Drosophila melanogaster: one gene and its partner. The protein of the gene in region 1 purifies or fractionates together with the protein of each later gene. This does not show direct contact. Each region holds a gene or a part of one and is shown on either strand. Other genes may lie near its edges.

The links.
Region 2: the proteins of Adat1 (region 1) and DIP1 purify together in Drosophila melanogaster (affinity purification with western blotting, with the first as the bait; one study listed by BioGRID). This does not show direct contact.

Annotation. Positions count from the first base shown.
Region 1 is NT_033779.5:13,807,805-13,813,289, reverse strand, and holds Adat1 (adenosine deaminase, tRNA-specific 1), read left to right. Parts: upstream 1-1,815; 5' UTR 1,816-1,839; coding exon 1,840-2,711; intron 2,712-2,768; coding exon 2,769-3,081; 3' UTR 3,082-3,635; coding exon of another isoform or gene 3,636-4,255; 3' UTR 4,256-4,270; intron 4,271-4,322; coding exon of another isoform or gene 4,323-4,481; 3' UTR 4,482-4,930; downstream 4,931-5,485. Other genes in the region: CG16888 (uncharacterized protein), read left to right, coding at 56-565; CG16865 (uncharacterized protein), read right to left, coding at 656-811, 933-1,238, 1,304-1,464, 1,525-1,645; CAH1 (carbonic anhydrase 1), read right to left, coding at 3,636-4,255, 4,323-4,481. UniProt on the Drosophila melanogaster protein: Specifically deaminates adenosine-37 to inosine in tRNA-Ala.
Region 2 is NC_004354.4:21,624,163-21,631,796, reverse strand, and holds DIP1 (DISCO interacting protein 1), read left to right. Parts: upstream 1-1,648; 5' UTR 1,649-1,760; coding exon 1,761-1,823; exon of another isoform or gene 1,824-2,893; coding exon of another isoform or gene 2,894-2,953; exon of another isoform or gene 2,954-3,042; coding exon 3,043-3,436; intron 3,437-4,906; coding exon 4,907-5,484; intron 5,485-5,544; coding exon 5,545-5,742; 3' UTR 5,743-7,001; downstream 7,002-7,634.

The sequences.
Region 1 (5,485 bases):
TATGTACACTTTTACTTTGTTGTCAAATTTTCAGTGTATAATACTTCAGGTTTCAATGTCCGCTTATAGATTGAGTTGCATCGGGAACGCGGAATGGGGACCCCATACCTCCAATCGTTCCAGCTCACTATTCAACTCGGAGGCCATCGAACAGTTGCGCGATAAGTGGACCCACTTCTTTTTTAACCTGCCAAAGGCGCCTCTCGAATTGCAGCTGGCCAAAGCCCGAGCGAATCGTGCACTCGAGCTGGTCAGGAGCAAGGAGAAGGCTGCTTTGGAACGGACCGAATCCTCGCCAAGAAGTAAGTGCCGTCCACTCACTGCTCTGCACAACTCGCCGCGTACCACGAATCGAATGAAGCTGATCATGGAGACTCGCGTGCGTCCAGCGATCGTCAAAAAGTCAAAGTCGGAGTACAATCTATGTCCCAGTTGTGGGCTTGTCAAGGACTCGATTCTCAATCACCAGCACGCCGAGCAGCGACTGAAGAAGCTACTGGCACAGCATCCCAGTTTGCTGCCAAAACGACAGCATAGAAGGTCAAACTATTTGCGTATGCTATAACTAGATAAATTGCAATTTTTCTTCCAAGAATGCCAGCCATTTGTGTCGTCAAATATATTTAGTTGTGGGTAATAAGGAGGCAGAGTGTGACTATCTTTCCAGTAGCGTGCCGCGCTGCTTCTTCTGCGGCGGAGGTGCGTCCTCTGTCTTGGTTTTGATGCCCACATCGCTCAATTTTCCGCCTTTGCGCTGCAGTTGCTTCTCGATAATCCTTGCGTTGTTCGCATAGCTGTCTGCGATCTCGCGCTGTTTGAATGAACAAAAAAAATGGTTAGTTTGAAAGAGTTGTAGGTTTGTTCGTAGATGATGCAATGATAGATTGGATTTCCTGCACCATTTACAAACCAACTTTAGCTGACAAACTTACCGCCTCGATTTCATCCTCCTCCTCGTCGATGGTAGACACCGTGACCGAGCTGAACTTGCCCATGTTCTTCGTGTGTCTGGTGACGACGACCTTCTTGCCACTGGCATCCACAATACCCGAATCGTCTGGACCGGCGGAAGTCGCTGGCTTGGCAGCCGGTGCCTTGAAACTGCCCTTGATCTCCGAATTCAGCAGCTGTGTGAGAGGACTCTCACCCTTGTTGCGGATTAGGGCATTGGACATGACGAAGGTTACGTGGGAGTCGGGACTGTGGCGATAGTAAAGCGGCAGACTGCAGCTTCGGCACTGAAGGTTAAAGGAAAACATTAGGTGAACTAATGACGGGTAAGGAGTGGAAGTCAGCTACTCACCTTGTAGCGGTACTGCTTCTCGATCCCATTGCCCCTGCTCTTGCGTTTGATGTAGACCATCCTCGGTGTGGGATTGTGGGTGAGTTTGTTGGCATGGTCGTTGGCGTTTATCACACGGGCGTTGTCCACCTCTCGTAGCGGCAACTGTTCGAGGGTGCAATCTGTAGGATAGGCAAACATGATGTACTATGCTTTCAGTTAGTTGGCTCCAGTAATCTTACCCAGAATCAGAGCCATCTTGTTGCACAGACAGTAGTAAATGTTTAGCGGCTTTTCCTCGTTGTACTCCTCCTGATCCTTGGTATCGGAGCAGACGATACTGCGCGACACTACTTTGGGCATGGTTATTTGTGGGTTTCGGACTTATGAAACTTATAAAATTAAAGTAATTTCCTATTTCATTAAACACCGCAAGTAAATAAATAAACAGTGAGACCAGAGTGTGCAAGCAAAAGGTAAACAATGCAACACGCCAATCGATATTGCTATTCGATTACCGAACTTATCGGTTCGCACATTTGCGAATATAAACAAAAATGTGTGATAACAAAAAACCGACTGTTAAGGAAATTGCGGAACTTTGTTTAAAAAAATTCGAGTCCTTGCCAAAAACAGGAAAGCCCACAGCCAATCAATGGACAATTTTGGCGGGAATCGTGGAGTTCAACCGGAACACGGAAGCATGTCAACTAGTTTCGCTTGGATGCGGAACAAAGTGCATTGGAGAATCCAAACTTTGTCCCAATGGCCTCATCCTGAATGATTCCCATGCCGAGGTGCTGGCACGTCGTGGATTTCTTCGCTTTCTATACCAGGAGCTCAAGCAGGATAGAATCTTTCATTGGAACAGCACGCTAAGTACGTACGACATGGATGAGCACGTGGAGTTCCACTTTCTGAGCACACAAACGCCTTGTGGGGATGCCTGCATCCTTGAGGAAGAGCAACCAGCGGCGCGGGCCAAACGCCAGCGGCTGGATGAGGATTCCGAGATGGTCTATACGGGTGCCAAACTAATAAGTGACCTTAGCGATGATCCAATGTTGCAGACGCCAGGAGCTCTGCGAACGAAGCCCGGACGTGGAGAGCGCACTCTATCCATGTCCTGCAGTGATAAGATAGCGCGATGGAATGTCATAGGCGTGCAGGGGGCACTACTGGATGTATTGATCTCCAAACCCATCTACTTTAGCAGCCTGAACTTTTGCTGTGACGATGCGCAGCTGGAATCTTTGGAACGTGCCATCTTTAAACGTTTCGATTGTAGGACATTTAAGCACACGCGCTTCCAGCCTCAAAGGCCACAGATAAACATTGATCCTGGCATAAGATTTGAATTTTCCCAACGCTCCGACTGGCAGCCATCCCCCAATGGCCTGATTTGGTCCCAGGTCCCAGAAGAATTAAGGTAAGGGTCCTTTTAGCTAGACAGTTTCAGATCTAAACATATATTCCTAACACGCAGGCCCTATGAAATTTCCGTAAATGGAAAGCGTCAAGGAGTAACTAAGAAAAAGATGAAAACTTCACAAGCTGCACTGGCGATCAGCAAGTACAAGCTGTTCCTTACATTTCTAGAGTTGGTAAAGTTCAATCCGAAGCTAAGTGAAATGTTCGATCAACAGCTTTCCGATCCTGAGCGTATCGCCTATGCTTCCTGTAAAGACTTGGCCAGAGATTACCAGTTTGCCTGGCGGGAAATCAAAGAGAAATACTTTCTCCAATGGACCAAAAAACCACACGAGTTGCTAGACTTTAATCCAATGTCAAATAAATGACACTTCGTGCCAGTGAAACGAGGATAAGATGCAGACCAAGCAAGTATTTTATTGCTAAAGTTGGGATGAAGTGGAACTTCTGGTCTAAGCTCCTTCAATTGCTTTCTTGAAAATGTGTAGTTGCTGAAAATGTCCTTATCAGAGATGAAATAACTTCGGATTATAGCTTCCCTTTAAAGTAACTATTTCCACAGAATTGAAAGTCAGTTAGGTTATCATATGCAACATCTAAGCGTGTTATATTTAGTTTATAATACCATAATAACATAAATCTAATTGTCATTTTGCAAACGTTTAACAGACAAACAAACGAACAGGCGTACATGTACAATTAAGGTTACAGCTAAGCATCCACTGATGCGAATACGGATACGGATGCACATATAGGAGGTATGCTCTTGCTGGGCGTACGAACTAAAGACGAGAATTGAACAATGGAGATGTGCCGGTCCAGCTCGTGGCGTACGGATGTGATGTGTGGGTGCGAAAAGCTAATCATACGACACTCGAATCCGTTGACTATCCAAGGACTTAGTTGTCCAACATCCACCGACTTAGTGGCCCCCGATCTCGCGCAGCTCACGCTTGCCCAGCGGCAGCGGAGGACGGAAGTTGTTGATGACCTTGCCGTTGAACTCGTTGCAGGGGCACTCCTCCTTCACGTCGTAGGCATTGAGATTGCGCATGGCGTTCAGCTGGTCGTCGGACACTTCGATGGGCGTCTTGAACACGATCCAGATGACCGACTCCGAGCACGGTGGAGTGGTCAGGGAACCCTCATAGGTCCAATAGGTGTGCACATCGGGCAGCAGCTGGCCGGGATCACAGCCCTGGGGGAGGGTGACGCGATCGCCCTTGTGCAGCACGAACTGCAGCAGGCTGGTCACCTTGTCCAGTTCGGCATGGTGATTGCCAGCCTTAAGGAACACACCCAGCACGGCCAGGCCGTCGGGAGCGGCAGCCGCCTCGCCAAACGACTTGTACTTCGTGGTGTTCCAGTGAACCAAATGCAGCTCGCCGGAATAGGACACGCCGTCGACGGTGTGCTCCGATCCCTTGGAGTCCGTGCAGCCCCAGTGGCAGTGGAACTGCTCCAGCTTAAAGATCTGATCGCCCAGCGGTCCTCCAGTCAGCTCGGAGTCGGCGCCGTTCACATCCACGCGCCAGCAATAGCCTAGATTAACAAATGGTAAGGATTAATATTTCAGTAGAATACAGTACGTTAACTTTGAATTTCTTACCAGGATTGACCAGGCTTTTGGTGTGCTCCGGCACATACTTCCACTTGAGCGGAGCTACATTCAGTTCGCTGCCCTTCTTGGCGCTGGAGGGTGTGATATCCACGGGCGACTGACGATGTCCCGACGCCTGTGGGTACTCCTTGGCCCAGTGGGCAGGTCCTGAAATAGGAACATTGAATGGGGCGGGTAAGTAAACGTGCGGCAAAGTCATTAGGTATTTGCTTTCCCCGAATTTACCAACTTAACTAAGTGCTAATTCGCTGTGTCGATAAGGAACAATAAATCAACTAAAATCAATTCATTGGAGTACTCCATTGGGGTTTATTAAAAACTCATTAGGCTGGTCAGGAAATTGATTAATGTCCGAAAAAATAGAAGCTAATAAATGTGGAAGGAATTGAAGAATTTCGTTTAATCCATTAATTCGATAATTAGGGCGACTATTATATGGTACTAGTAATTTCAGAAGACAGCGAAAATCATTTCAAATTCATTTATTCCTACAATTTGCTGTTAAATTCAAATTATTTCTATTATAAAAACATGAAAGATTGTATATATTTCAACTAGAATCTGGACTTTGAAGCTAATAAATGGGAATAAAAATGAATCAAAGACTTAATATTTTTATGGCTGCTTATACTCGCGATTACCGAAGCATTAAGTAAGATGCTTATTTATGAACATGTCGCCAGAGTTGACAATCGTTTGCCCAACTGGCAGTCATAATAATATTTGCATAGACCTTTTATCTGACCAACCGGCTGAGGCAATACAAGTATTTGCTGTTCCCCTGTTTGCTGCATTTTGTTGCGATTTATGTGCGTGTATGTGGATTCTTCTTTTTAATTACTGGTGGCGCAAACATTGACACAGAGAACCGCGTCACGTGCCAGTAGAATCACTCGGAAGACCGCAGACCCGAGTCATGTGATAGGATCGCTGCAGATAAACCGCAAAAGTTTATGGGAATTGGAATCAGAATATGTATAATATATGATTGTTTGCCTGAATCGGAGCAAATATTGAACCATTTGCCGTTGGTAATGGTACCCAGAAATCGGCAGGGGTTTTCTTATCGAACGGGCAAAGCCTCGTTTGTCATTTGATAGATCGCCGAGCTTAAGGTGTCAACAGCTTTGTAGCTTCCTATATTTATTTCG
Region 2 (7,634 bases), on another chromosome or scaffold:
TTAAAAATTGGTTTCTACATATTTCATTTTCAAATTCAAACTGGCACATGTGCGTATGTGCATATGTGGAAACGCGACTAAACAATTATATTTAAGATGTTATCTTTAAGTTTTCTCGTTGAGAACGTTGTTTTAATAGGTGCTATACAAATTTGACACTAGATTATTGTCAGTGTACGATTTTCCTATTCGTGGACACCGTATATTGATTTCGGTCATGCTCTTGTACCGCAGTGAAGAAAACTTTTGCGACAGTATTAGGTATTTTATTTGGCGTTTTATTTGGGTGGACCTCAGTTAAAAATATTGGACCACTTTATTTCAGATATTCCAATTTAAACATAGAAATATGGTTACCTTGTGGTTTTTATTTGATCCTGATTTGTTTTCGTCAATAGTTTTGTGACTTAAGCAGCGAAACATTAAATTACAATTACAATATAAAAGTTACAAAATACGCGGTAAGTCGTACTCTGATTTTGATTTTGATTTTCTGCAAGTGGGTTGGTATATGTGTGTATTGAGTTCCCTGTAAGTCCAGGATCACAAGACGAGTCGAGCTGTCCCATATTCTTTTTTCCGTCTGCCCAATCAGTGACCTTTGAAACCTCGCGAACCTTAAGGGACTATGCCTGTATGCCTATGCAGCGCAGTTTGACACTGCTTAAATATTCGTAAAAGAATAAAAACCTCGATTAATATATAAATATATAGCAAATATATTTGCAAAATATGATAAACTGACCTATTAATCCCAACACAGATAGTTAATTTTCATAAGTTCGCTTGCATTCCTATTGATGTGGTTGAGGAAACGCAAAACTCTTGTGAACACAGTGTGAACACCTATTCTATTTTTCGTTTATCCAAAACTGTCATTCCCACACTTTTGAAAAATATTCATTTTTTTAAATAAAATTTTTGTCTTGCAACTTTCTATAGATATGCAAAAATAATGTCGAAAATTTTCCGTCGCACTCCCACTATCTAAGTAACAGGTATCTTACCTTACTTTGAGCATTAGTATTTTTTTAATATATGCATAATATGAAAAACACACCTATTAATCCCAATGTAGATAGTTAATTCAGTTGATTTGGTGTTCATTTTTACAAAGTCGCATACTTTCCTATTGCTGTAGTTGAGGAAACGCAAAACTTTTGTTAACACAGTGTGAAAACATTTCCTGTTTTTTGTTGACGTTATAGATTTTGCCCACGCTGCAGACAGGCAAATTGTGTTTGCAAGTCATGAAAAGTCATGCGCTTATGGTTCGAGTTCTATACTATTTTCTTAATACATTTGAATGTCAGTCAGTCAAACAAAAATGTAGGGAATTACCATGCACACAATTTAACAGCTATAATATTCTCGCGATATACAGAAGTACTGTTTCAATTCTAAATTTTCGCAATAACTTTTAAGCACTTCCAAAGAGCATCGTCGTGCTATTTTTAGCATGCTTTTAATTATTTCACAATAAAATCTTTGGTCTGCTCTTTTTTTTCCGCCGTCTTTCCATCACTTTGCTTATATTACTATGGCCAGTGTGAAATGTCTATAATATATTTAATACTAAAAACGATTTTCGAAATATGTGAAAAATATCGATATATTTACATATATTTTGACATCCCTACTTAAGTTTTTTACTTCAGTGCAGTACGATTCTTTCTGTGACCTGAGCAGTGAAAAATTAAATTACAAAAGCGAAAAAGCGAATTACAAAAGTGAAAAATTAAATTACAAAAAAAATCAAGATGAAGCGAAATCGTCGTGCATTTGCTGGAAACAACAAGCCATTTGTCTTTGGAGGCATTTACGTAAGAATCTTAATTTTTTTTGCAAGTGTGTGCAGGAGTGTGAGTTAAGAATTCCCTGTGACGTCACGAAGATATGTATTCCGAGTGAAAATGCATCACGAAAACAAAAACCATTGTTGGAATCATCCATATTTGATTTGTGAAATAACAAAGTTTTCGTTTTTATTTCTATAATTTGCAGCGCACAAAGTGAAAGTGTTCATTCACAATTCACCACAATTGTGAACTCATTTGCAATAGCCACTAAAAGCGGGTTAATCGAAAGTGCAGACCGTTGTCCGAATTCCACCAGCATTCACAATGCACCCCCCAGACATCCACCACCTTCCCCTCTCCCCTTACATTCGTAACCCACCCATTTGCATTGCACTCATTCCACTCCGTTCGTGCTTTCGATCAACTAGATATGGCCAGCACTGCTATAGTTTCACGCTGGACTTGCGGTTATCGCTAACTTTTATGGCTACTGAAAATGCATTCACCCGAAACTGTAACTAAAATTATTAGTTTTGGGTCAGATAGCAATGCCCATTCACTCCACCGAAAGTGCCCGAAACGAGCCGGCGACCATGAACTCAGCCGATGACCGAAGGATCCCCATAACTATTGTTTCATGCTAAAATAGACAGAATTGTGAAACGTATAGGTCGATAGTCAATTATTTTACTCTATTTTTGCATATCGGAGAAAATTCTATTAGAATTAGAATTAGATTTTCTCGAACCTCTCTGCAAACAGAATACATTAGCGAAAAGTTAACTCACCATGAGACTGAATTTATTTGTTAACCGGACTTTGCGGTTTTTATGCCCATTGAATTAAAGAGACATTGGTTACCCTAATAGTGCAGTACACCTGATTTTCATAGATTAGCATAGACTACCTGGTCCCGGAGTCCTCGGCTGGATCCGATAAACGGAGATCCACAGTCGCTGGGCAGTTGGCTCCGTTGGTGCAGAGCTTCGTTTCGGGGCACTTGGGTCGCAGGAATGGCCATGGCTAGTTCCGGAACTATGGTTTTAAGTAGACCAGCCGACCACCCTGACGGTTCCGGGTAACTTGACGACTTGATGGTTTCCGTTGGCCAGCGAGTCGCTTTTTTGTCGACCCACTGGACCAGTCCGCTGCAAGTGATTTTGTCTAGGGTAGCCTGGCGAGCCAGGCGGAACCCGTTGCCTTCGCTAACTAATCGACTAATGAAACTCTTTCGCAAACGCAGAATCCCAATGCCACCGTCAAGCCTTTGATCCAAATGCCGTTGCAGGCCGCCAATGTCCAGGAGCAGCAGTCTTCTCCGGTGGCTTTATATCCGACATCGGCCTCCCCGGTGGCTGTTCAATCGCCACAGGACGCATTTTTGGCTGTTCAGTCGCCAGGGGCTCCTGCCCCCGTTCAACTGGCCAACTCGTCCGACCAGCAGAATAATCCGGATGCGGACGCCATTGCCTCCAAACTGCCCATGCCAGTTATCATCAAGGAGGAGCCGATCTCTGTCAACGATGAACCGTCCGTCGACAATATAGAGGACAATACCAGTGCCAGTACCAGTGCCAGCGGCATCGGGGGCAAGATCCCATTTAAAAAAATCTTCCAAAAGCGCAAGAAGTCGTCTGGTAAGCGAGGAAACCTTTGGTGATCAGATTTCCCAGAATTTTCACACGCTCACACAAAGCACTAGGTTTCTTATGGAAGGGCAGACCGGAAATTACTTACAGTTGTGTTGCGAGTTTAAGATAAAAAATTCCTATGTTTTATAGTTTTATTGGTCCATTTTTTTTATAATATCATTAGGTATTTAATTTTGAACAATTCAAAACATGTTTCACATTTATTCCTTCAATAGTTTCAAAAGTGTAGATTAAAACAACATAATAGGCAGAAATTCTTTTTCTTTTTAATATGTTAATTACGGCATAACACTTGGTTGGATAGCCTTTGTTAGCTAGCACAGCCTTACACCCATGCGGCATGGTGTCCACTAGGTCCTGGCAACGCTTGGGGGGAATTTCGACCATGCATCCTGCACAACTTGTCAAATCTGAGCCTTAGGCGTCGGGCAGTTCTTCGACACATATTGTTTAATGTCCCCCCACAGGGTTTCAATCGAGTTTAAATCGGAAGATGGTGCTGTCCTCGGCATCTATTCTATTTTGGGTGAACCTAGCCGATTTGCTTCTACGTTTCGGATTATTATCCTTTTGGAATGACCATTTTAAGGGCATATTATATTAAGAATATGACAGTAAGACATCACTAAGAATATTTACATATGCGCTTTTGGTCTATAATACCAAAAATCATATTTTATGGACTCATACCATTGTAAAAAAAACTAGCCCATAGCGAAGTTTATCCTTGTCTGAATATGCCTTTGGCTAAGTAGGGGCACCTTTCGTGGGCTCTTCGCACTTAAATTTTGATTAAGTAGTCGTCTCCGAATTGCAACGTCACTGATTCCCAAGTTCAGCTCAGACTTCATGTCCCTAGAGTATGCAAAAGAATAGACTTTGTTTTAACGAACTATGCGTCGATCCTCTATATCTGTGGTTTTACGTTTGGTATGGTTTTTTGAATGTCCTTATATGTTTTTCCTTTCTTTTTTAGCTTAAGAATTAACATTCTTTTCTCCTGGGAGCAGTGCTGTCCTTTAGCCACTAAAATATATTTTTTTTTTATTTTTTTTTTTAATTTATTGCCCTTTTAAATATACGAATTAACTTAACCGAACTCACTTTTTAGAAAATATTGATAATTTCGGGACTTTACGTTGGTCAAAACCAGACACTGCTATTCTTATGAACAGCCTAAAAGTTGTGATTTTACTCAAGAATGAAAATGAAAAATAAAAAATAAAAAAGGATGGCATGTAAAGCTAAGGGAATTTTCTTTTTTTTTTATTCCTATCTACACATTCCATTTTACACTAACAAGTGGAACAAATAGTCGATTCCGAAAAGGGACATGGAAAAATTTGTATTACTTAGTTTCCCTCGCACTGCTATTTTTATGAACACAGCTGTACTTACAACTTCAAATTTCATTTTTATATATTCTTGTATATATGTCTATTAACTCTATCGTAGAACGCACTCGGGACAAGAAGTTGCGACAGAACCGCCAGCTGCGCAAGTCCATGCTCCCCAAGAACGCTCTGATGGCCCTCAACGAGGTGAAGGGCGTGACCATCAGCGATTTCACCATCGACAGCAATACCGACGGGGGATTCACGGCCGTTGTCACTGTCAACTCGAATCAGTACGAGGGCAAGGGTACCTCGAAAATGACAGCCAAGAACGCGGCCTGCGAGAAGGCTTGGCGCGATTTTATTATTGCAAAAATGACCCCCAAGCCGCCCCGTATTCACCAGGTGGAGATGGGTTCGGAGCCAATGGATATCAACGAGGATGAGGCCGATGCACCGGATGATGATCTGCCCATGTTGAATCTGGCCTCGTTTGCCATCTACAAGCTGTTCGCGGAGTGGGAACGGGAGGGCTATGTCGTGCCCGAGATGCACCCTTCGGCCAATGCTGCCCAACAGGCGGGAGGGGATGCCGGAACTCCAGTTCCCCCCGTGCCGAAGGAGCCAAAGAAGCCGCCAGTGCGCACCGAGCTACCCTCTGGCTGGGAGACCATGCACCCGGCGACCATTCTTTGCATTGTAGGCCAGCCCACCTTACTACCTTACTATGTACAGTGTCAGTAATCAATTCCTCTGCAGATGCGTCCGGGACTCAACTACGTGGACTACGGGTCATCTGGCGACAAGACCAACGGCATGCAGCATCTGGGAATCATGGTGGACAACCAGGAGTTCCACGCCAACGGCAGATCAAAGAAAATCGCCCGTCGCAACGTGGCCGTGAAAGTGTGCAACTCTCTGTTCGGCACCAACTTCACCTACAGCGACACCACTTAAGACACCAACTCCAACCGCAGACTCCAACTGCCGACGACAACACACATAACGGACACTCTTAACGGACAGCAATCAGAAGATTGCGACCCTGACGTCAATTGCGCAACTTTAAGCGACACCACTTAAGACACCAACTCCAACCGCAGACTCCAACTGCAGACGACAACACACCTATGCCTCTCTTAACGGACAGCAATCAGAAGATTGCGACCCTGACGTCAATGGCGCAACTTTAAGCGACACCACTTAAGACACCAACTCCAACCGCAGACTCCAACTGCAGACGACAACACACCTATGCCTCTCTTAACGGACAGCAATCGGAAGATTGCGACCCTGACGTCAATTGCGCAACTTTAAGCGACACCACTTAAGACACCAACTCCAACCGCAGACTCCAACTGCCGACGACAACACACCTATGCCTCTCTTAACGGACAGCAATCAGAAGATTGCGACCCTGACGTCAATGGCGCAACTTTAAGCGACACCACTTAAGACACCAACTCCAACCGCAGACTCCAACTGCCGACGACAACACACCTATGCCTCTCTTAACGGACAGCAATCGGAAGATTGCGACCCTGACGTCAATGGCGCAACTTTAAGCGACACCACTTAAGACACCAACTCCAACCGCAGACTCCAACTGCCGACGACAACACACCTATGCCTCTCTTAACGGACAGCAATCGGAAGATTGCGACCCTGACGTCAATGGCGCAACTTTAAGCGACACCACTTAAGACACCAACTCCAACCGCAGACTCCAACTGCCGACGACAACACACCTATGCCTCTCTTAACGGACAGCAATCAGAAGATTGCGACCCTGACGTCAATGGCGCAACTTTAAGAATTCCTTTTCTGTCAAAGTGAAGAGGCATATTAAACAAGAATTTCCCAATTTAGTTTGTATTTGGGACAGCTCTTACTTATGATTTTTTAGGTGGGCCGGAGCCGTTTTCAACAACGAATAATTTTGAACTGCAAGAGCCGATAAGATTATCCGAATAATCTAAACGCAGGATTCCTTGGTAATGCTGATTAATTTTTTCCGTGTATTTTGCGACACACTGTGGGTTTGGTTTTTTTGAAAACGCTTCCACAGAAGAGGATTTCAGTGGCAGATTGGGTATCAAATATTAATTATGCTTACCAGTGAATTACATTTTTGTCGTAAACTAGATTAAGCTAAATGGGTGGTATAATTACTTGATTTTTAAAAACATGAAGACATAAGTACATGTATTGAATATAAAATTGTAAAGTGCATTTTGATTTCTTGTGCTCATACTTGATGAGAGTGAGTATTTGTCCAATGTTGCCCAATGCTCTTGATTGAGACAGCTTTTAAATTATACATTTATTTTGAATAAAACGACATACACTGAAGTATTGTACCGCCGCGTTTCCCTGGGTGAAATCCGCGAAGTGGTTTCACAAACCCTGTACACTGCTGACATGCAACACCCGTCAACAACACCGATGAGTCGTCCCCTGCTCAGCTGATCCTGGCCACGTACCTACTGATGACACCATGCTTGCGTCGCCCTCATCCTTGCAATTCGCTTCCAATGCAGTTCAGGAATGGCTGCATGCAATCGATCGATGGACTTTCAAATGGAACATAACCATTAACTGCACTAAGTCGGCCTGTGTCACATTTACCCTGCGACCTCAAACCTGCCTAGGTCTTCTCTTCGACGGAAATACAATTGACTATGTCTCATCCGATTGCTACCTCGGAGTTCACCTTGATCGGACGCTGAGTTGGAAAGCCCATATCACGGCAGTTAGAGCCAAATCCTCTTGGAAACTGAAAAAACTGGACTGGCTTTTCCACTCAAGCAAACTCCATATGGCAACTAAGGTTCTCTTATTGAAAGCCA